2 linked regions of the Struthio camelus genome follow. The protein of the gene in region 2 interacts with the protein of the main gene of each other region in a pairwise test. Links are inferred from orthologs where the notes say so. Each region holds a gene or a part of one and is shown on either strand. Other genes may lie near its edges.

What was found. The genes of interacting proteins can lie anywhere in the genome.
Region 1: the proteins of AP1B1 (region 2) and KIF13A interact in binary tests that used the Homo sapiens proteins (3 or more experiments, as listed by UniProt). The link is inferred for Struthio camelus from reciprocal best matches to the Homo sapiens genes AP1B1 and KIF13A.

Annotation. Positions count from the first base shown.
Region 1 is NC_090943.1:97,756,166-97,766,428, reverse strand, and holds the start of KIF13A (kinesin-like protein KIF13A), read right to left. Parts: upstream 4,666-10,263; 5' UTR 4,390-4,665; coding exon 4,335-4,389; intron 3,967-4,334; coding exon 3,876-3,966; intron 1-3,875. UniProt on the Homo sapiens protein: Plus end-directed microtubule-dependent motor protein involved in intracellular transport and regulating various processes such as mannose-6-phosphate receptor (M6PR) transport to the plasma membrane, endosomal sorting during melanosome biogenesis and cytokinesis.
Region 2 is NC_090958.1:5,165,976-5,176,540, forward strand, and holds the start of AP1B1 (AP-1 complex subunit beta-1), read left to right. Parts: upstream 1-6,431; 5' UTR 6,432-6,454; intron 6,455-8,412; exon of another isoform or gene 8,413-8,493; intron 8,494-10,262; exon of another isoform or gene 10,263-10,391; intron 10,392-10,415; exon of another isoform or gene 10,416-10,505; intron 10,506-10,565. Other genes in the region: NEFH (neurofilament heavy polypeptide), read right to left, coding at 896-1,095, 2,600-3,368. UniProt on the Homo sapiens protein: Subunit of clathrin-associated adaptor protein complex 1 that plays a role in protein sorting in the late-Golgi/trans-Golgi network (TGN) and/or endosomes.

The DNA.
Region 1 (10,263 bases), on a different chromosome or scaffold from region 2:
CTAGTTTTTTTAATACTAAAAAATAACATCTGTAATGCAAAGATTTTAATACTGTATCTTATTGCAGACAACCAGATACAAATATTTATAGAAAGACAGTAGGACATATACTGCTGGCTTTGAAAGGTAATACCTGTTTATAAAAGACTATTAGTTGGAATAATTACTTCAGAAATAATTCAGTACAAGAAAGGAAATTCAGATCCATAGATGAAGACAGACAAAAAAAATCACAGTGTTCCCAGAAAGACGAGATGTTGTCCATTCCTTTCTGAGGGGGAAAGGGAAACTCATACCAGTTTGGAAGAAGAAGGGGATAGAAGACAGGAGAGGGAACTAAAACAACACACAAATACACATATACATTGGCATATGTGTATTGGCATACACAAAAGGAATTACTGCTACCGATAATAGTAAAACAAGCATATGTGTATTCGCATACACACAGGGAATTACTGCTACCGATAATAGTAAAACAAGTGTTAACGTTATTAAGCCCAACAATCAACTTACAGAAACTTTGCCAGCACCAGCATAGATATACCTGATACTAGCTAATGAAGACTGTTCCTTTCTAAACTGTCCAATATTACTTCAATTGATGAAGATTTTCCAGTGCCTTTCAGATTCAGGTTGTTAGGTTTTTCTAAGTTCTGTTCCTTCTTGGTTAGTTTCGAACCCTAAAAATCGTTGGCCTACGGGAAATGACAGGGCTACTGCTTACAAAAACAAATGTATCAAATTGTAACAAATTGTATTAACTACTATTTTGTAGCTTTCTTTGTTAAGGTAAGAATGCAGCGTGATCTAGTTGTTAGAAGAGGGAGTTAGAAACCCTGCTCTAACTTCGCGTTATAATGTGCTGCTTTATCACCAGTACAGCAGATTAATTTGGACAAATGATAGCACTGTCTGGATTTTACTTTTTTTCCACCACTTGTAAAACTGTCACTACTTGCTCATGTAAAAATCATTTAGAAGCTTAAAGTTAGAACATATACAATTAGAGATTGATCAACAGCATGTATCTGAACTTAGATTCAACTAAAAAACAAATCCATACTTGTAAAATAGACAAAGCTAGTAAAACTCATTTTCCTAATCTTGGGTATTCTTCCAAAAACAGTTCTTATAACGTTATGATTATGAGTGCGCTATCTAATTTTACTTTAGAAAAATCTGTTATTACATTTAAAATTATAACTGTGAGTACAAAGCAAATAGAGAGCATGGTCCTGAAATCTTTCCCCCCCCCCCTCCTTTCTCCTTCCTGAACTACAGCTTCTTGGCTTCAGCTCAATTAAGAAAGCAGTCATGAAAACAAAACTTGCTTTAGAAAGCAACTTATTCTTATTCCAAAGTGCAGTACAAACTTGTACTTTCATTCAGCTAAAAAAAGGAAAGTCCATATAAAGGAAAGTTCCATATAAAAAGATAAAAGGTTAAAAAGGGAAAGGTAATTCTAAACAAAATATTAAACAATGCAATATGGTAGCAAAAGACCAACTAATCACCTTAACAAGTGAAATCATTTTTGCGATGACATGGTTGCTCTGAAAGAAAAATCCAGTTGAGCTATGTAAAACCAAGCTACACAAAGAAAACCAACAAACCATTTGACATCTCTAACCCTGCTGAGGCATTAATCCAAGTACAAACAGCAACTACTCAGCAATTCTGAGTCTGTTTATATAGACATTTTATTTGGGTACACATAGAAGAACAGCAGAATTCATCCTTCATCATGAGAAATTAAACTATCTTAGGTAAAAATGTAGAAATCAACAGTTTAACGGTAAATAAAATTTAAGATTCTTTACAAAGCACTAGAAAGTCCATGAGGCATCTCAGTAGACTGTACACAACCACCACATATGGCAGGTATCCAAATTGTATTTCTGCATCAGTAGGAGTTACTTCTGATCAGTATTTTTGACTGAGTATTTCCAATCCATTCATGTCAGACAGTTGTTTCCTTCAACATACAAGTTAAACGTTTAACAGGCAGCCAAATTCCAACCTCACAGTGCACTGCAAGCAGGGCAGCTATCACCTGCCAACACAGCTCTCGGCTGTGGGGTTGCACATAAGTGTCAGAACTCGCTCATGAGACTCTTGGCACAGAGCCAGAAGCCAATTCAAACTAAGAGAACGTATACACGTTATAGGTATTAAAGCCAGATAAAAGGCAGAGAATCAGTGTATAGCCTCCCTAAACATCTGCAGACCAATTTGCACAATAGGCAAAATTCACACATTACAGGCTCTTTATTTTAATAATCTATTAGCCTTTTTCTCAAAATAATAATAATTATAATATTAATTTTTAAATCTTGATTCTGTTCTTCCTTTGTAAACTCTCTATGCATTTTATGTTTTACACCTGCCAAATCCACTCACTTTAAAGAAAGTTAAAGTTACTCATATTATAGTAGTGTTGGGATGGACACCATATACACACTTCAATAAACGGAGGAATATTCAAGAAAAACAGCATTTTCCATTATACCGATGGGATGCTAAGCCACACAGAGGCAGTAAGACTTGTAGAAGACCACACAAAGATCTGTGCAAGAAGCAGGAAGCAAGTACAGATCTTTCAAGTCTCAGGCCAGTACAGTAGCCATTCAGAAGACAACGCAAGCTGGATTTAAGTTAAAGTGATTTGATTATAGATACAATCCAGCATTTGGATTAACGTGAGAAGGTCTTCATGTAAAATCTTGGACCTTTTCTGTTGGAAAACAATGAAAACATGACATATTGCCTCTGAGAAAACCCAAATCCTCACGCTGCAGTTTCTTCATAACTCTTACCAACTCAATCAAAAATACCCTTAAAAACCCTTAAACAGTTGGAACACGTTCAGATGAAGACGGCTACAACCATGCAAATAATTTCACCCTCCTTGAAAGTAAATATATTCAGCAGATCAAGCAAGTTGAATGGTCAACAGGTAACTGAAGAGATAAGCATACAATGTAACTTTTCCTCTCACACCTCCCTGTCTTTCCCCACGCTCCCTCAAAGGAAAGAAATCTTTTCCTGTTCTGATCTATTTTTTCAGTCTAGTGCATTGGTATTTTGGAATATTTCCAACAGTGTTCTTTACTGGGGCATCATAACTGAATGCCAGATTTCAAAATTATTTTAGCATATTCTCATAGGCTACTTCAGAGAATAACGCTGAGTTAATACAGGATCTAGCAATTACAGCCTTTTAAAATGCAAATATGTTAAAACCTAGTAAACAAACTTTAAAAAAAAAAAATACCATCACTAGCAGAAAATCCAAATTCTGCTTCTTATTTCCATAAATCAAAACCCAGGTTACATCAGCTCATTAGCAGTCTGCACTTAAGGAAAATTTCTGAAAACACTGTAGGCCAAACCTATTGATTACCTAATCAATAGCTTATTTTTTGATAAGTTAATCAAGAACCAGCTTTTAAACTTAAGAGGTCAATAGCGATCTTATGCCTCCACAGGTCCATTTGTTTACCTCCAGTTCCACTCAGGAAGCAAAGAAAGAACGAAAGGTCTAATTCTCATTTCCCAATAACGCAAGCCCACTGAAGCAATTCCTCCTGGTGGTCACTTTCGCTCGCCCTTGCAGCCCGAGGCCAGGACATGCTTCCCGCAGCCCATTCCCCCCATCGCAGCCTTTGAAAGGCACCGAGTAAAAACTTTACAACATTGCTGCTCCTTTAACGAAACCACACGAGCCATCTGCCGTCTAATCCAACGCTGGAGAGGGTGGGGCAGGAATTCGGGAATTCGGACCAGGGCTTTTTTTTTTTTTTTTAAATGAGAAACACGATTAACTTTGATATTTTTGTGTTTGTTTTTTTTTCTTTTTTTTTTTTTTTTACCTTTCTGCCTGCTTGGTGTTGGAAGGCGGAGGGTGAAGCACAGTCTGGTTCCCTTCCATCTCCACGATACACTTGGTATTCAGGTCCAGCTCTGCGAGGCGACACGACAGGGGGCTGCACCGGCGGCGAGAGCACCCCTGCCCTCCTCACCGCCCGCCGCGCCGCGCCGCGCCGCGCCGCCCGGGGCTCCCCCGGCTCGGGGGCCGCCGCCGCCTCCCTACGTGCGCGCCGGAGGGCCGGCGGCATCGTCCCCACGGCCCCGGGACGGAGCTGGCTGCGAAGGGGGATGCTCCGCCTGCCTCGGCCTCCCCCCCCTCCACCCCACCCCACCCCGGCTGCCGGAGGCAGGGGGGGCGCCGGGGCACAAACGTTATTCTCCCGGGCTCGTTCCCGGCCGCCGCCGCCACCCCCCCACCGCGGCATCGGGAGGGGGCCGGGGCCGCGGCGCTCGCCTGTTACCTCTCCTGTTCATGGGCCGGACCCTGACGGCAACTTTCACCTTGGTGTCCGACATCTTTCCCCCCCCCTCCCGGGAGCGGCGGGCGGCCCCGCTCAGCGGCAGCGGCGGCTGGCAGCCTCGCAGCGCCGCGCACAGCGACACGGCGGAGCACCAACGGCCATGCCGGGCCGCGGCGAGGGCGGGGGGCCGGGAAAGCGCAGGGGCGGCGAGGGAGGCACAGGAGGAGGGTCCGGCGGCGGCGGCGCAGCCCCAGTCGCCTCCCTTCTCAGCCGCGGTCCGCGCCGGCTGCCGGCAGCCTCGTTTGCATAACCGCTCCCGCCGCCGCCGCCGCCGCTGCTCCCGCCGCCGCCGCCCCGCCAATCCCCAGCGCCATCTTCCGCCGCCGGGACGGCGGGGCGCGGGCAGGGGGCGGGCAACGGCCGCGGAAACGCCCAAGCGCCTTCGGCAAGAAGGAAGGGGATGGGGTGTGTTTGGGGGGGGGGGGAAGAACAGCCCCCCCGCCCCTCCCCGCGACAGCCGCTTCGCCCGAGTGAGCACGCGCGAGGGTCTCCTTGCGGTGGCGAAGGGGGCAGCGAGGTGGCGCTGCTGCGCCGGCCCGCGCATGCGTAAAGGGGGCTGTGAAGGCGGGGGGGGGGGGTGGGATGCGCTTATGCCCGGACGTCGCCCCCCCCCCCAACCGTCACGTAACGGGGAGGGGGCAGCGGGCTGACGGGCGGGGACAGGGGGTTGAGCGTAGCGCGGCGCAAGGCGGCGCGGCCCGTTTGAGGGGCTGCGGGCACGGGGGGGGGATGTTTTCTGCCGCCTCACGTAAGGCTTGCTCCCCCCCCCCCCCCCCGCTCCGTGGGTCTGCCTCAACGGCCTCCCCCGCCGGGGCGGTTTCCGTTGGGCGCCCCCCGCCCCGGGCCTGCCTCGCCCCGCCGCACCGCGCTGCCGCCGCGATGTCCCTCCTGCTTCCCTCGGCCTTTCCTGAAGCCTAGGGCCCAGGTGCAGGGGCGAATTCGCAGCACGATTGTAAGGCGGTGAAGTTTCTCTCTGGAAATAAAGTTTGCGTGCTTGCCCTGCAAAAGATGAGATGGGTCCAAAACGTGAAAAACGGTGTGAGAAACAAGAACAAAAAAAAAAAAAAGCATTTAAAGCCAGGTAAAGTATTGGGAAGGGGCTTGGGTACTGTCCACGGGGCAGGTCGTTAGGCAGGATAGGATGGAAAGGTGGAGGATGCCAGTGAAGGAGCAGGTCGTTGTACGGAGGCATGCAGAGAAGACATGTTGTCCAAAAAGGCTGGGATAGGGGTAAGGGCATTGACAGTTCCAGATAAGTTGGCTATAAATTTATATGATTCACTTATCATTTTAAAGTTGACCAGATACACATGAAAACCTTCTGGTTTGATGTTTGGAAAGGAAGGGAGCTTGCTCCTACCAGCTCTTGACAAGTGGAGACCTCTGAGGATGCAGGAAGCTGGGAGCAGATGCCTGCCCCGTCTGGGGTCAGGCGGGGAGAAAAAGACAGCATGTACTCCACCTTCCCCCTTCCTCTCTGTTTGGACTTGTGCAAGCACCTGCCAGGCTCCAGCATCTCAAAGTAAAAATTATGGGAAGTACATGCATAATCATTTTTTCTGAGTGAGATGACGGTGTTTAGAAACCAGAAGAAGGATTTTTCAAAGTTTTAGGCTGAATGGAAATGGACTTGCTGCAGGTATCAGCTGATAAACAACAGATAAACACTAAATTGAGCATCACACACTGATTATCTAGGTGAACTGTGTATTTTGCATGTGTTTGGAAGGCTTGGATGCAGAGGCTACGGTCAGATAAAACTGCCCCATTCTCAGGCTGGAATTTTTTTGTCCTTAGAAAAGGGCTGTCTGTGAAATATTGAGAATGCTCATATGGTGCTTCTCTTCCAGACAACAACTGGCAATTGTTAAGAAGTGCCTGCCCAAATACCACAGGAAAGAGTTGAGTCCGTTCACTAGCAGTGAGTTCAGCATCAGGGAAAAACATTATAAACACTAATTATCTTAGCAACCAGGAGCTCCAAGGACAGCTGAGCATTCAATGGATAAGCCAAGAAGATTTTTACTAAAACTGCAGTAGGTTTATGATCCCAGGATAGCTGCCTTTTTGAAGTGTCTTGTTAAAACTTTGTTTTTTCCCCAAAGGTGTTTCCTTGGCTTCAGGGAAATATATTCCATAGAATCAGTTCTTACCATCTAATGCAACTAACTGGCAGGAAATCCAGACACAAACTAGTGATATCTGTAGCATTTTGCTTACTGAAAAGACAGGTTAAAACCCAACTGTGATTATTCTGTCTACTCTGAGGCTAAACTATTCTAAGGAAAATGGGCTAAATCAAAAAATGATTAAGGGGTGGCTGCACTGAGAAACAACAGACATTTCAAAAAGAGGTAAAAACAACTGACAGTACTGAGAAGGTACAGAGTCGTGTCATTTCTCCCCCAGTTTCCCCTCCCTCCTGGCCAGCCTGAAGAGTTTTGGGTAGCGAATGAGAAGAACTGAGAGCAGAGAGGAGCGTGGAACATATCTGGAGTAGGTCCAGTTGCCCCTGAATGGCCAGTGGTTGCAGGAATGCTAAAGGGAAATGTGAGATATGCACTTAGTGTGGTGAAAGAGAAACTTTACCAAGTAAAGTTGGGTATCTGGAGAATGTCACTAGCAATAAGCCTCTGGAGCTGGTACATGTTGATTTCTTGCCTCTGGAAGTAGGCATAAGGAATGAAGTTTGCTGTGAAATGCAGAAGTATACGGTTCAGCCATGAAAGAAAAGGAGAGACGTTGAAATGAGACATCCCACCTATGACTGTATGACTGTAGACTGTAAGAACCCAGATCAAAGTAAGCATGGGCTCGAGATAAGGCATGATATCTGCAGTGACCGTGCAAAAATGAGTTCTGCAAAACTTGAGTATTATTGGGAATGGTGGCCAAGATATTTTGGGAAGATCTCTATTTTCCACCTCTTAGTGGAAAAAATGTATCAATGCAAGATTATATAAAAACAATGAAATTTGAGGAAGGGAAACTAAAGGGTGTCTTAATGAGATGGTCTATGATTTTGGCTGTGGGAAAGGTCTTGAAAACAATTTCTTGCCGATGTCTGGAATAAGCCTCTGAAAGACATTCAGCCATTTGCAGATGCAGAAAGCCAGCCATGGAAAGGAGTCTGAAAAGGGAGATGCAACCTAATTTGTCCTAATATAGACTGTAGCTGTTCTCTTCTTGTGAAAACCTGATTTCTTCTGATGCAAGCTAAATGGGAAAAGGATTTTTGTTCTTTCATTCGCATCAGCATGTCCTGAAAAACAACTACCAAGAATGACATGCTTTTCTGTCCCCCAAGGAAGGGTTTTTGGCAACACCTGTATCAATACCTGACAACATCTGTTAGGCAGCATGCATGTAGCAGACTGTATTTTTGGTTTCCTCTGAACTTTTGGCACTACAGCAGAACAGCAAGGAACTTATGTTAGAGGGGTCCCATTAGATCTCTCATTGTACCTAGCCCGAAGAGCAATCTGGACTTCAGTACACCAGTATCGTCTTAATACGCTTGACAGAATCATCAGGCCTGAAAAAATTATTAGTTTCTCATGGACTTGAATATCAGAACTGGTGTATATATATATAACTTGCAGTATTGGGAAGCAGTTTTTAAGATCCCTTAAGAGGGAGAAAGAAGAAATGGACTTGATGTAAGAGCCAGAGTGTATGTGCCAGGAAAGCAAATTCTTGACTGTGTGAGTAGGGGGATATTAACTTTGGTCAAAAGATCAGTGGAAAAGAATTTACCGCTACCATCTTACAAGCAAAGAATAGCCAAGACCTGTTTCAAAACCTCACTGGGCAGAAGCTCCACAGGGTCAGAAAGTTGTTGCCACCATCCAGAAATGAAACAGAAGCCAAATAATCAAGTCTTCACTTGCATGTGTGCAACTGGTTTGACTTTCATTTACGTTTTGGTACAGAACTAACAAATTCTATTATCTGATGGTGTGACTAATGGAATCTGTGGTTTCCGTGAAAGGACTTAATCTGCTAGTGTTTCTTTAGTTTTAAGAGGATTCCAAAGGCATTTAGAGTTGATTAGTCACATACACCAAAGCCCAATTCTGCAAGATGCTCTGTGATGTGCCTACCTCTGAGGTACAGATCACTTTGTCACATCACGTTTGGAATCTTTATTTAACATTTAAATAAAAAGTGAAGGTAATATCACTTTTATTATGACTATTGTTAAGCATCAAGCTTACCAGCACAAGACTCTCAAATGTTTTCAAAGGCTTGTTTTTACACTAAGGTGCCTCAAGATAAATCCCTGTTTGCACATAGACACCATCATAGCGAAGATAGTTATCTACAGTGTAGGTGGTAAAACTGCACGACGTGCTGAGAGATAAGAGAGTTCCTAAGTGCTGAGTATGTGGAGAAGAAGGCAAGCACAGGTTGCTGGCTGCACTTGTAGCCCTAATTTCTCTCTTTGCCCAGATTGGGGGGATGCTGAAGATCAGACCTCTCCGTCTGCAATACCCTGAAAAATCAACTAATTTAATCAGGCATCAAAATCTTTATTGAGATGTGTCTTGTGTACCCCTTTGTGAAAAACAAGGTTATCAAAATTTTATAAAGTAATATACTGATCGCAAGTAAATTCCTGTTTCCTTAAGTAATGGAGGAAAATAGTGGCAAATGAAAACTAAGAAAACATTTCCAGGCTTACTTAGTGTTTTCTGAGCAATTATTGTCTTTATTTAAGGTATTGTAAAATTTAGAATCATCCAGGCTTTTCTCTCCCAATCTCGTTTTTTTAAAGCCTTTCCTTTTATTCTTTTCTTTTTAATAGCTGTCTGTGTCTGAACAACATGGAGTATCATGACTTTACAACAGCAGTGTAAAACTTACCACATAACTACAAGATCTGAATCAGGAAGACAGTCTCTTTAGATTCACAGCAGAAGGAATGGTCTTCCAGACATAGCACCTGTAAATGAAAAGATAGGGCAGGAAGAGCTAGAAGGTAGGTGGAGCTCTCAGAGCTCTGTGTCTCCACAGAGCATCATCACGGAACATAGATGCGACATGCTAAAATCCAACTATTCTAGCATTCGCTTATTAACTGTTTAAGAAAAATGCTTAAAATTGGCTCTGCGAGTCAGAGTCCATAGAGAAGTATATACATATGTGAGATTTCAGACACCTACACATATCTATGTCAGAAAAGCAAGAGTATGCCAGGTATCTATAACAACATTTTATTTGGAAAAAAGTTTCGGACACTTTGTCCTTATTTGAAACATTCTCTAATTCACTTAAAATACAAGAACGCCAAAGGACAATATCAGCTATTCTAGGGCAAAATAGTGTACTGCAAGTCTCCAAACTGAGCAGAAATTGAATAAGAAGGGGAGGCAAAAAGCAAGATGGAAAAGACGAGAAAGAAGAGGTAAAACCTCAGTGAGGCTTTTTCAATCTTTGTAAGTTTCAAAGTACAAATATTGAATTGCTTTTTATCCTTATGTTATGTCTTTGTATTTTTTTTTTCTGATAAGTAATAGTTTTTACATATTTGGAATAAGACTTCAGTGATAGTGCTTGTTCCTACATGTAACTATGTTTTTGCACTGACAAGGAAAGAGGATGCTTGGAATATGCTGGAGAATGAGAAAGAAAATGGCAGAAGGAAGTGAGTGCAATTCAGGCCACTAGGATGCTTATCTTCTGGCATTACATCAACACAGCTACCATATGGAACCCTTTATATCTCTGTCTTCACTACCAGTAGCAACTTTGGGTGAATGTCTCTCACCTGTCAACATTTGTTAGCCTGATCAATTCACGCCCCATTGCGACTGGCAAGGGATCTTCATGTGTCATTCACCCATCAGAATTAGCTGCCAGCTATCCC
Region 2 (10,565 bases):
TCCACATCCAACTATCCCAGCAGCTGCAGGAGAGGAGGAGGCAGGGTCAGCAGCTGTTTCCCAGACTCATAGAGCAATTGGGATCAGCAGGGACTCTGGGGAGCCGCCGGTCCAACCTCCTGCTCGAGCTGGGGCAGGACTGCGTCCAGTTGGGTGTTGAATATCTCCAAGGATGGAGCCTCCACAACATGTTCCCATGCTCAGCCACCCTCACAGTCAAGACATGGTTTCTTGTGTTCATTCTGTGCCCATTGCCTACTGAGACGAGTCGGGTCCTGTCCTCTTGATACCCTCCCATCAGCTATTTATACATGTTTTTCAGTTTTTATACGCATTCCTCAGTTTGCCTGGGGTCCTGGCTCCTTGCTGCCCGGCAGGAGCCCTGCGCCATCTTGGAGGTGAGCAGCACTCCCCATGGGAGTGCCAGCTCCCCACTGCAGCTACATTTCTAGGTTCTGGACGAGTCTAGTGGCCACCCCAGCCACCACCCCCCAGGCTGAGGCTGACGGGGACAGAGCATCGCGTTTCAGTCCACTGCCATCACAGGCTTGTGGTACCCACAGCAAGACCTCCATGCTGTAGTTCCCATTTCTGAGACACAGTTTGCACCCTGAGCAGGCAGCAATGGCGTTTGTGAGCAGCATTGAGGCAGCTCAGAGCCAGATGCATGGGGACAACCCCACCATGGCAATGGGGACATCACTCTGGATGCAACCTCAAGCTCTGGGTACCCTGTCACCAGGAGCTGGGAAAGGACTGCAGTAGACACAACTGCCAAGTATTTGCAGCTGGCCATTATCTCTGGGGCCAATACCAGTACCACCCTCCCTAGCAGCTAGATGATCCCTCCCTATGAAGCTACAGGTCTGGCACCTCATCCCCGGCACTGCATTACCTGGTAGGACAGGACGTCTGCATGATGGCGCTCCTCTGAGTCCTGCCTCTGCTTCTCCAATGATTCCTGGGTCCCTTTGAGGGCATCAAGCTCAGTGGTCTTGGACTGGAGCTGGCGACGGTACTCGCTGATCTCCTCCTGGGCCGAGCGGATGGCATCCGTGTTCACCTTGGCAACTTCGGAGAGCTTGTCCAGCCTCACTGCAACAGGGCAAAGGGAAAGCTGCAGCAAGCAAGGGAGGGAGGCTTCATTCTCCCCTTCTGGGGCAACTGAGGTGGCTCCTGACCCCCCAAAAACCCCTGAGCCTGCAAATCTTCTGTGTGCACACCCTCTGCAGCACTAAGCCCTGGCAGGGGCTTCCTGGGAGGTTGGCTCAGCCAGCCCTCACTCCGTCTGTGCTGGGGTGATGACAGTGCCTGGGTAGGACAGACTAGGCAGCTTTGGGTTTTTTTTTTCCATCCTGGATTTTTTTTCCCATGCAAACCTACTGTCTCAGGGCCTCCTCTTGAGCTCCTGCCACAAACTCAATGACCTACAGACCTGCCTTCTCACTCCAGCTCTGGGAGTGGTAGGAATGGCAGCCCCAGGCATCCCTCCGGCCACATTCGGGCCCTGAGCAGCCACACCGTCCTTGAGCGGGTGGCTGGAGGGCACAGAGGGCTCTGCTGCCCACCAAACCTGTGTCTCTTGCCGCAGCCAACTGCAGGGTGTGTGTCACTCAGGGGCTTTCCACAGTGCCCTGAGGCACCCCAAGGGACAGAGGCCGGTGCCTGCTGCTCCTAGCACCCTGCAGGATGGCTGCTGGGCACCAGCAGCCTCAGCCCTGCGGGGATGCTGGTCCCAGAGCAGGGTGCTGAGGCCACCCAGCACCCACAAGTACTGAGCCCTCTGCTCTCCAAGCTGCTGCACCCGTGCAGCACCCCCATGGGTGCTAGGTTCCCCCCCCCCAGAGGACTCCGATGGGTGATGACCCTTCCCCGCACTCCCAAGGGTGCTGAGCCAGGAACTCGAGGTGTTGACCACGCCCGGCGCGCCCATGGGTGCTGATGCGGGCGCTCTCCAGGGTGCTGAAGCCCCCGGCCTCTCTCCAGGGTGCTGAAGCAGGGGCTCCCTGAGGTGCTGAGCCCCCTCCGGCCTCTCTCCAGGGTGCTGACCGCCTCCCGCCCTCTCAAGGGTGCTGAACCGCTCGGCTCAGTGCCGTAGTGCCCCGCCCAGTAGCGCAGCAAGGACGCTCCCCGCCCCCCCGGAAGGATGCGGCACCCCCCCCCCAACACTGCGCTATCATCCCCTCCCTGCAGCGCACCGCAAATACTCCCGACCTGGCCAAATTCCAGGGAAAAGAGACCGGTGCGCAGCGTTATCGCGGCACCCCAAAGACCCGCGGGGCGCAGTGGCCATGCTGCCCTCCCCAAAAAGCAGTGCGGGGCGAGGAGGGGAGAGGGGTGTCCGCCCTGCAAATAGCCAGGGTGCTGGGGGCGACGGGTGGGATTACCGTAACGCCCTGATGGAGAGCGCTACGCGGGAGGCGGGGGGAGGTCCGCGCACACGTCCGCGGTGGGGTTACCGTGACGCCCTCCCGAAGCGCCGACCCCGGGGTCCCTGCGCGCAGAGGGGCGGGGCAGGGGTGCCCGCGGCGGGGCTGCGCACCCGCGGAGCGGGGTCCGCGCCCGGGGAAGGGAGCGGGGGGATAGGAGGAGAGCTCACCTCGGAACCAGTCCTCGGCCTGCAGCGTGCTGCGCGCCGCCGTGCCCTCCAGCTGAGCGCGCAGGTCGCGGAGCGCCGCGCTGAGGCCGGGGCCGGCGGCGGCGGCGGGGGGCGGCGGCTCGAGGCGGGCCCCGCGCAGCAGCTCGCCCAGCTCGGCCTCGTGCTGCCGCCGCAGCAGCGCCGCCTCCTCGCGCAGGGCGCGGGCGCGCTCGGCCAGCGGCCCCCGGGCCCGCTCCTCCTGCGCGGAGCGCTGCGCCAGCCCGCGGGCCGCCGCCTCCAGCGCGCCGCGCTGCCGCGCCTCCTCTTCGAGGCGCGCCCGCAGCGCCGCCGCCTCCTGCGCCAGGCGCGCCCGCTCCAGGCGCAGCTGGCCCTGCTCGGCGCCCAGGCGCAGCACGGCGGCGCGCAGGTCGCGCAGCTCCCGCGTGTACAGCTCGCCCATGGCGGCGCGGCCCGCCTGCTGCTGCCGCAGCGCCGCCGCCTCGGCCGCCAGCGCCCGGTTGCGCTGCTCCAGCGCCCGCACCCGCTCGATGTAGCCGGCGAAGCGGTCGTTGAGCACTTGCAGCAGCTCCTTCTCGTTGCGCGCCCGCGGCTCGCCGTTCAGCGAGTCGAGGCTCTCGGTGGAGGAGGCGGCCGCGCTGCCGCCGCCGCCCCGCGCCCGGCCCGGCGCCGGTGCCGGCCACGAGTGGAAGCCGCTGGAGGCGGCGGAGCGCGGGGCGGCGCGGCCCGGCGGCGCCGGGGGGCCCAGCAGCGTCTCCAGCAGCAGGCTCATCGCGGCCACCTCACTGCGGCACCGCCGCCGCCGCCGCCCCTTTATAGGGCCCGGCGCCGCCCCGCCACCGCCACCGCCCCCGCACCGCCCCCGCTCCCGCCCCCGCCCCGCGGGCCCGGGGAGTCCCCACGGCCCGGCCCCGCCGAGGGAGCGGGACCCCCGCGTGGGAGAGCGAGACCCTGCGGAGGAAAGTGGGACGCCGCGGGGGAGAGCGGGACCCCCGCGAGGGGATGGGGATCACCCGGAGCAGAGTGGGAACCCCAGGGCAGGGGATTGGGACCCCTGGGGAGAGCGGGGTGACCCTGGGAAGCGAGTAGGATCCCTGGTGGCAGAGATCGGGGCCCCCGGGAAGGCAGCAGGGACGCCTCCGTGGCGGAAGGGACCCCCGCGGACACAGCAGGGAGCCCCGGGGGACAGCGGAGATGCCCAAGAGAGGCAGAGGGAGAAGGTGTGGGTCTCTCCTCCCAGGGAAAGGACCACGGGGAACTGCCCTTGGAGGAAGGGAGAATGGAGGTACTCCGGGGGGGACAAAGTGGGACTCCCGGCGGGGGGGGGGGGGTGGAGAGCAGAGATGTCCCTCTCAAGGACAAGAGGCTGGGACCTTCCCACCTCTGCAAGGGATGCTCTCTGCGGTCCCCGGACCCTCTGCCCCACAGCAGGACTGGGGGCATTCCTGCCTAGCCCCCAGAGCTGCTGGCTGCTCTCAGGCTGCAGTGACCAGAGCTGGGGAGCAGGCAGGAGGGAGCAGGCGAACGGGGCCATGTCCCAGCTCAGGGTGCTCCCCGGGACCAGCCTGGCAGCCGGCTGGCAGCCCAGCGGCAGGGCCACGCACCAGGCTGACGACTTGCAAACTCACTGCACCTGCACGCCACATGTAGCTGGCCCTGCTCCATGGCATGGAGGGGCTGCCAGGTGAGACTGGCAGCGTGTGGGGGGAAGCAGGGTGGCATCACCCCCCAGGCCCCTCTGTCAGTCCCTGTCTTTGGGTGTTGTCTGCCTGTCCGTCTGCTCATCCGTCCATCCTGCACACTTCACCCCCAAGAACCAGCGCCGTGGGGCACCCCAGCTTTGGGCTGATGCTGTTCCCCACGCGGGGGCTTCGGGCAAGGCCTGTCACCGGCCCCCGACATTGTGGGGGCAGTTGGGTTGGCTCTGCCCCTGCCAAAGGCAGCGCATGGCGAGCGCAGAGCTGATCCTTGCAACCTCGCCACCCCGCGAAGGAGCCCAGCGAGGGCAGAGTGTCCTGGCGGTGAAACCCCAGGGCAGGGAGAGGGGCAGAGGATGCTGGCAGAGCGGGTGGGGGAGACCCAGCCTCCCCCCTGCCCCCCTGCTGCAGGATGGGTCCTGAGCCCCATCAGCTTCCCAGGGTGCTCGAGCTGGTGGCCAATAGGTGTCAAGGGCACATGGGGAGATGACAAGGGCCACCGGGGAGACATGGGGCCGCGGTGCCCCCCCCACCCTTGCCGGGGAGCAGGGAGCGCACGGCCCCACCCAACGCACAGGTAAACTCAGCCAATCAGCACTCAGGTACAGCCCACGCTGAGCAGGTACGTACATCCCACACCCAGCACACCCCTACAGCCCACCCCAACACACCCCACAACCCACACCCAACACACCCCTACAGCCCACCCCAACACACCCCACAACCCACACCCAACACACCCCTACAGCCCACTCCCAACACACCCCACACCCCACACCCAACACACCCCTACAGCCCACTCCCAACACACCCCACAACCCACACCCAACACACCCCTACAGCCCACCCCAACACACCCCTATAACCCACACCCAACACACCCCTACAGCCCACTCCCAACACACCCCACAACCCACACCCAGCACACCCCTACAGCCCACTCCCAACACACCCCACAACCCACACCCAACACACCCCTACAGCCCACCCCAACACACCCCTATAACCCACACCCAACACACCCCTACAGCCCACTCCCAACACACCCCACAACCCACACCCAACACACCCCTACAGCCCACCCCAACACACCCCTATAACCCACACGCAACACACCCCTACAGCCCACTCCCAACACACCCCACAACCCACACCCAACACACCCTACAACCCACACTCTGCAGGTACATACAACCCACACCCAACACACACCTACTGCCTACAACCAACAGGCATGCACAGCCCACACCCAACAGGCACCTACAGTCCACACCCAACAGGTATGTACAGACCACACCCGATGCATACCTACAACCCACACCCAACAGGCACCTACACCCCACACCCAACAGGCACCTACAGTCCATACCCAACAGGCACCTACAACTCATGCCCAACAGGCACCTACACCCCACACCCAACAGGCACCTACAGTCCATACCCAACAGGCACCTACAACTCATGCCCAACAGGCACCTACACCCCACACCCAACAGGCACCTACACCCCACACCCAACAGGCACATACAACCCACGCCCAACAGGCACCCACGGCCCACGTGGGAGCCCTCCGCGGCGCCTGCCGAAGGGGGGTCTCTTTCCCCTCGGCTCCCCGCTGCCCGTTTGCGACGGGAACCGCCGGTGCCGGCTGTGGGGGCGGCAGGCGGGGAGCAGCGGGCAGCGGGTGTGCAGAGCCCCTTCCCGGCGGGGGGGGGATTTCGGCAGGGTCCGAGCCCTGCTGGGGAGGGGGCGGCTCTGCACAGAGGAGGAAATCTGTATTTGTGATCCTTGTGAATTCCCCTACGTGGAGGGGGGGGGGATCGTTCCCACCGCCTCCTCCCCGCCCGCAGCCGCCCTGCCCGGCCCCGGCGGCGCAGCGGCAACGGCCCGGCCAGGGGCTCCTTCCCGCGGGTCTCCCCAGCGCCGCTGCCTCCCACCCCAGCAGCCCCGCGCGGACGTTTTGCTGCTCAGCACTTTTTTTTTTTTTCCAGCAGCCCTGCAGCAGCGCATTGCCCTGAAACGTGAGGCTGCGGCGGAAGCGGGGACTGAAATCAGCGCCGGGCGGCGCTGGGGGGGCAGAGATGCCGCAGCGGCGGGCTGGCCGGCGCCGCGCGTGGGCAAGAACCGGCTGACGGGGCCGCTCTCCCCCTCAAAGCCTTGGGTGAGATGCAGCGAGGACGTGTCCCCGGGGCGGCTTGGGGCGGCGGGTCCCGGACGCCGCGCATCGGTCACCTCCTGCCTAGGGAAACCAAAGCGCTTCTAACCGGCCAAATAGCTACAGCTGCTTCTGCCTTCAAATATCGGATGAATTTATTACTTCATAGGGCAGAAAAGCTCTGTGCCCGATGAGTCACTCCGCAGCTGCCAGCGGCGCTGAGCGCGGGCTGCTCTCGCCGAAGCCCCCCGGTGCGGCTCGGCAGGGCTACGAGCCGCCGCAGAGGCCGGCGGCTGCCCGCTGACTCAGCAGGCCGCGGCGGCACCGCGTGCGGCTCTCCCGGGCGCCGCTGCAGCGAAACCCTTCCCCAAAGCTCTGCTTGAACGTCGCCGTGGGTTCCCTTGCGGCCCCCGGTCCCAGCCCGAACCGGGGGCTCCAGCCCCGTGCTCTCCCCACCTTCCCCCCCAGGTGCTCGGCAACCCCCCCAAAAGTGACCGAAGGTGTCACGTTCCTGGGACATGAAACTGCCACGGAGCTGCAGTGACAGCAGCGAACACGTCTCGATTACTGCCGCCGAGGAGCTCCCCGGCGTCCTTTCAAAGTCACCCGGGCGGCCGGGGCCGTCAGCGCTGCGGGAAGCGGGAATTTCTGTGGCGGCAGCACATCCCCGCTCCCTGCTGGCCCTGCTCCCGCCCGGCAGCCTCTCGGGGGCTTCCAAGCTGTTCCCTGCATTGCGTTTTCCCCTGGAAAGGCGGCCTTGCGGCAGCAGAGCGCCGCTGGCTGCTGGCAGAGACGCTTCCTGCAATTTGTCTCCTTCCAAAACCTGGCTCTTGCACAGCTTGATGCTTAGTAGCCCGGCAGAGACCCAGCGAACTCGCTTCACCCAGGAGCGGGCACCTGCAGCCCTCTCGCAAGGGCGCAGAGCAGCATCGCCCACTTGATTATTTGTTTTTCCAAATAAACTATTTCGGGAGGCAGCTGTGAGCGTTCGTGGCTGCTTTGCTGTGTCGCTGCTGCAGCGGGCCGGGCTGGCTGCGGCTTGGGTGAAGCGAGTTTGCTGGGTCTCTGCCGGGCTGCGAAACGTTCCTCCGTTTCACGGTGGTTTTTCCGCTTCTCGGCCGACGGTTTGGCCTGCGCGGAGCTGGTTCGACCGCGGGGCGCCTGGGCCAGGGCCGCCGGGCAGCGGGGTGAGAGCGGCTGCGGCGCTCCTGGCTCGCGCAGCCCCGGCATTTGCGCGGCCGAAATGGTGCTGCTGCTCCGGCTTGGCCCGCCGCGTCATGTCACGTCATGTCACGTCACGCCAGGTCGCGTCACGCCACGCAGGGACCGCCTGGGGAGCCAGCAAGGAGGCCCGGCAGCCACGGGCCCCGTGCGGGGAGGCCCCGGGCGTGAAGTTCCCCCCAGCTGGGGGGATCCGGAGGCTCCCGAGCTGCTTTCGACGTCCTCGAGCCCCGTTTCGGGGGTTTTCTGGGAAAAACTCGGTGGCCTCCTCGTCACCGGCACAGGTGACAGTGACGTGGGGTGGCATGAGGACCCCTGCGGCACGGACGGCCGGGCGGCGCCGAGTGCCACCAGCTCAGGGCCTGGCCGACGGGAGGTGGGTGACCGCGGTGTCCCGGGGGGGGGATCACCCGTGGGATCCCCACGCCGGGCGCCCACCAGGGTCCCCGCAGGCCGTCCCCGTGTCACCCCCGGCAGGCGGCGCTTGGGGCCGATGGTCCCCCGGGCCCGGCGGGGAGGGAGCTCGGGGAGGGACGCCCGGAGCCGCCGTGTCCGTATCCGTGTCCGTGTGTCCCCGTGTCCCCCCCCCCCGGCCCCGTGCGGGCTCAGCGCGCGCCAGCCTCGCGCGCCCCCTCCACCCCGCGGCCCGTCCGAGGCCCCGCCCCCAGCTCCCCGGCCCCGCCCCCGGCTCCCCGGCCCCGCCCCCGGCTCCCCGGCCCCGCCCCCACTCCCGGCCCCGCCCCGCGCCCCGGAAGCGCTGGCCCGCTCCGCCCTCACTTCCGCTGGGCCGGTGGCAGCGGGCGGCGGCGGGAGCGCGGCGGGAGGTACGGCCGGGCCGGGCCGGGCCGGGGGCGCTGGGTCAGGGTCGCCGCCGTCGCGCGGACCGGCTGCCCGCGGGGGCCGCTGCCCGGGAGCGGGAGCGGGAGCGGTGGCAGCCGCTGCCCCCGGCCCTGCTCCGCTCGCTTCCCCCGCTGGGCCTCCTGCCGCGGGCCGGCCGCCCTCGATCCCCCCTTCAGCCCCCCCCCCGGGGTCCGGCCCCCTTCAACCTCCCCCCCCGGGGTCCGGCCCCCTTCAAGCCCCCCCCCCCGGGGTCCGGCCCCCCTTCAACCTCCCCCCCCCGGGGTCCGGCCCCCTTCAACCTCCCCCCCCCCGGGGTCCGGCCCCCTTCAACCTCCCCCCCCCCGGGGTCCGGCCCCCTTCAACCTCCCCCCCCCCGGGGTCCGGCCCCCCTTCAACCTCCCCCCCCCCCGGGGTCCGGCCCCCTTCAACCTCCCCCCCCCCCGGGGTCCGGCCCCCTTCAACCTCCCCCCCCCCGGGGTCCGGCCCCCCTTCAAGCCCCCCCCCCCGGGGTCCGGCCCCCCTTCAAGCCCCCCCCCCCGGGGTCCGGCCCCCCTTCAACCTCCCTCCCCCGGGGTCCGGCCCCCTTCAAGCCCCCCCCCCAGGAGTCCGGCCCCCTTCAAGCCCGCCCCCGCCCCGCGGGGTCCGGCCCCCTTCAACCCTCCCCCCCGCCCCCGGGGCCGGGCCCCCTTCAACCTCCCCCCCGCCCCCGGGGCCGGGCCCCCTTCAACCTCCCCCCCGCCCCCGGGGCCGGGCCCCCTTCATACTCCCCCCCCCCCGGGGCCGGGCCCCCTTCAAGCCCGCCCCCGCCCCGCGGGGTCCGGCCCCCTTCAACCCTCCCCCCCGCCCCCGGGGCCGGGCCCCCTTCAACCTCCCCCCCGCCCCCGGGGCCGGGCCCCCTTCAACCTCCCCCCCGCCCCCGGGGCCGGGCCCCCTTCATACTCCCCCCCCCCCGGGGCCGGGCCCCCTTCAAACTCCCCCCCCCCCCCCCCCCGGGCCAGGCTCCCTTCAAACTCCCCCCCCCCCGGGGCCGGGCCCCCTTCAACCCTCCCCCCCCTCCCCGGGGCCGGGCCCCCTTCAAACTCCCCCCCCTCCCCATCCCCGGGGCCAGGCCCCCTTCATACTCCCCCCTGGGGCTGGGCCCCCTTCAAACTCCCCCCCCTTCTCCCCGGGGCCAGGCCCCCTTCAAACTCCCCCCCCCCCAGCCCCCTGGGTCTTGTCCCCCACTTCTTGCGGGGGGTCTCGGGTGGCTGGTCTCAGGGTGAAATAATTGTTATTCTGGGCTCAGTTTTTGCAGGTGCTGCCGGGGGAGAGGCCATCGGCCGCGCTCTCCCGGTCCCCTCCGTGGGGAGGTCGCAGCAGGCTGCGGACGGGCAACTTTTGGGGCTGGGGGTGTAGAAAACTCGCGTTCGTTCCTCGAATCGCTGCCCTGCTGTCTGGGGATGTTTTGGGGAGCCCGGTGGCGGCAGCAGATCCCAGCACGGCTGACGTGACCCGTACCTAGCGCTGCCCCGGCGCTTCTGCTGAGAGGCACGCAGCTTATTTGCAAGAAAACTGGTGAAATAGGAGGAAACTCATCCCCGCTTCCTTCACGAGCACTGCTTTTGGGTGGAGGAACGAATACTTGCCGTTCTGCGAAACTCTACCGGGAAGCTGCTGGAATTGGGAAGGGTCCTGGGGGCTGGGGCAGAGACAGCTTTGGGATCTGAAAGTAGTATCTGATGCGCTTGGTCCTATAAACTCCTGTTTTTCCCAGCCTTGCTCAGGGAGCTGCTTCCTCAGCTTCACGCAGAATCCGCCCCGGCCTGGCCGCTGCCCGTGTAATGGCATCTGCCAAAGCGCGGTGAAATGTCATGCGAATTCCGAGAAATTGGTGTCAAACTCCGTGAGTGATGAACTTTCTTTTCAGGAATCTTTAATAACATCCCATGAGGAACGGTCTAGTCTCGTAGCTAAGAGCAGTTTTCAGCCCTTTCTTTGGGGCAGGGAGTTTGAGGCGGTGAGTTGCATTTTAACAAAACTTCTTTAGAGAATGGTGGAAAAAAATAATCCTGTTTCT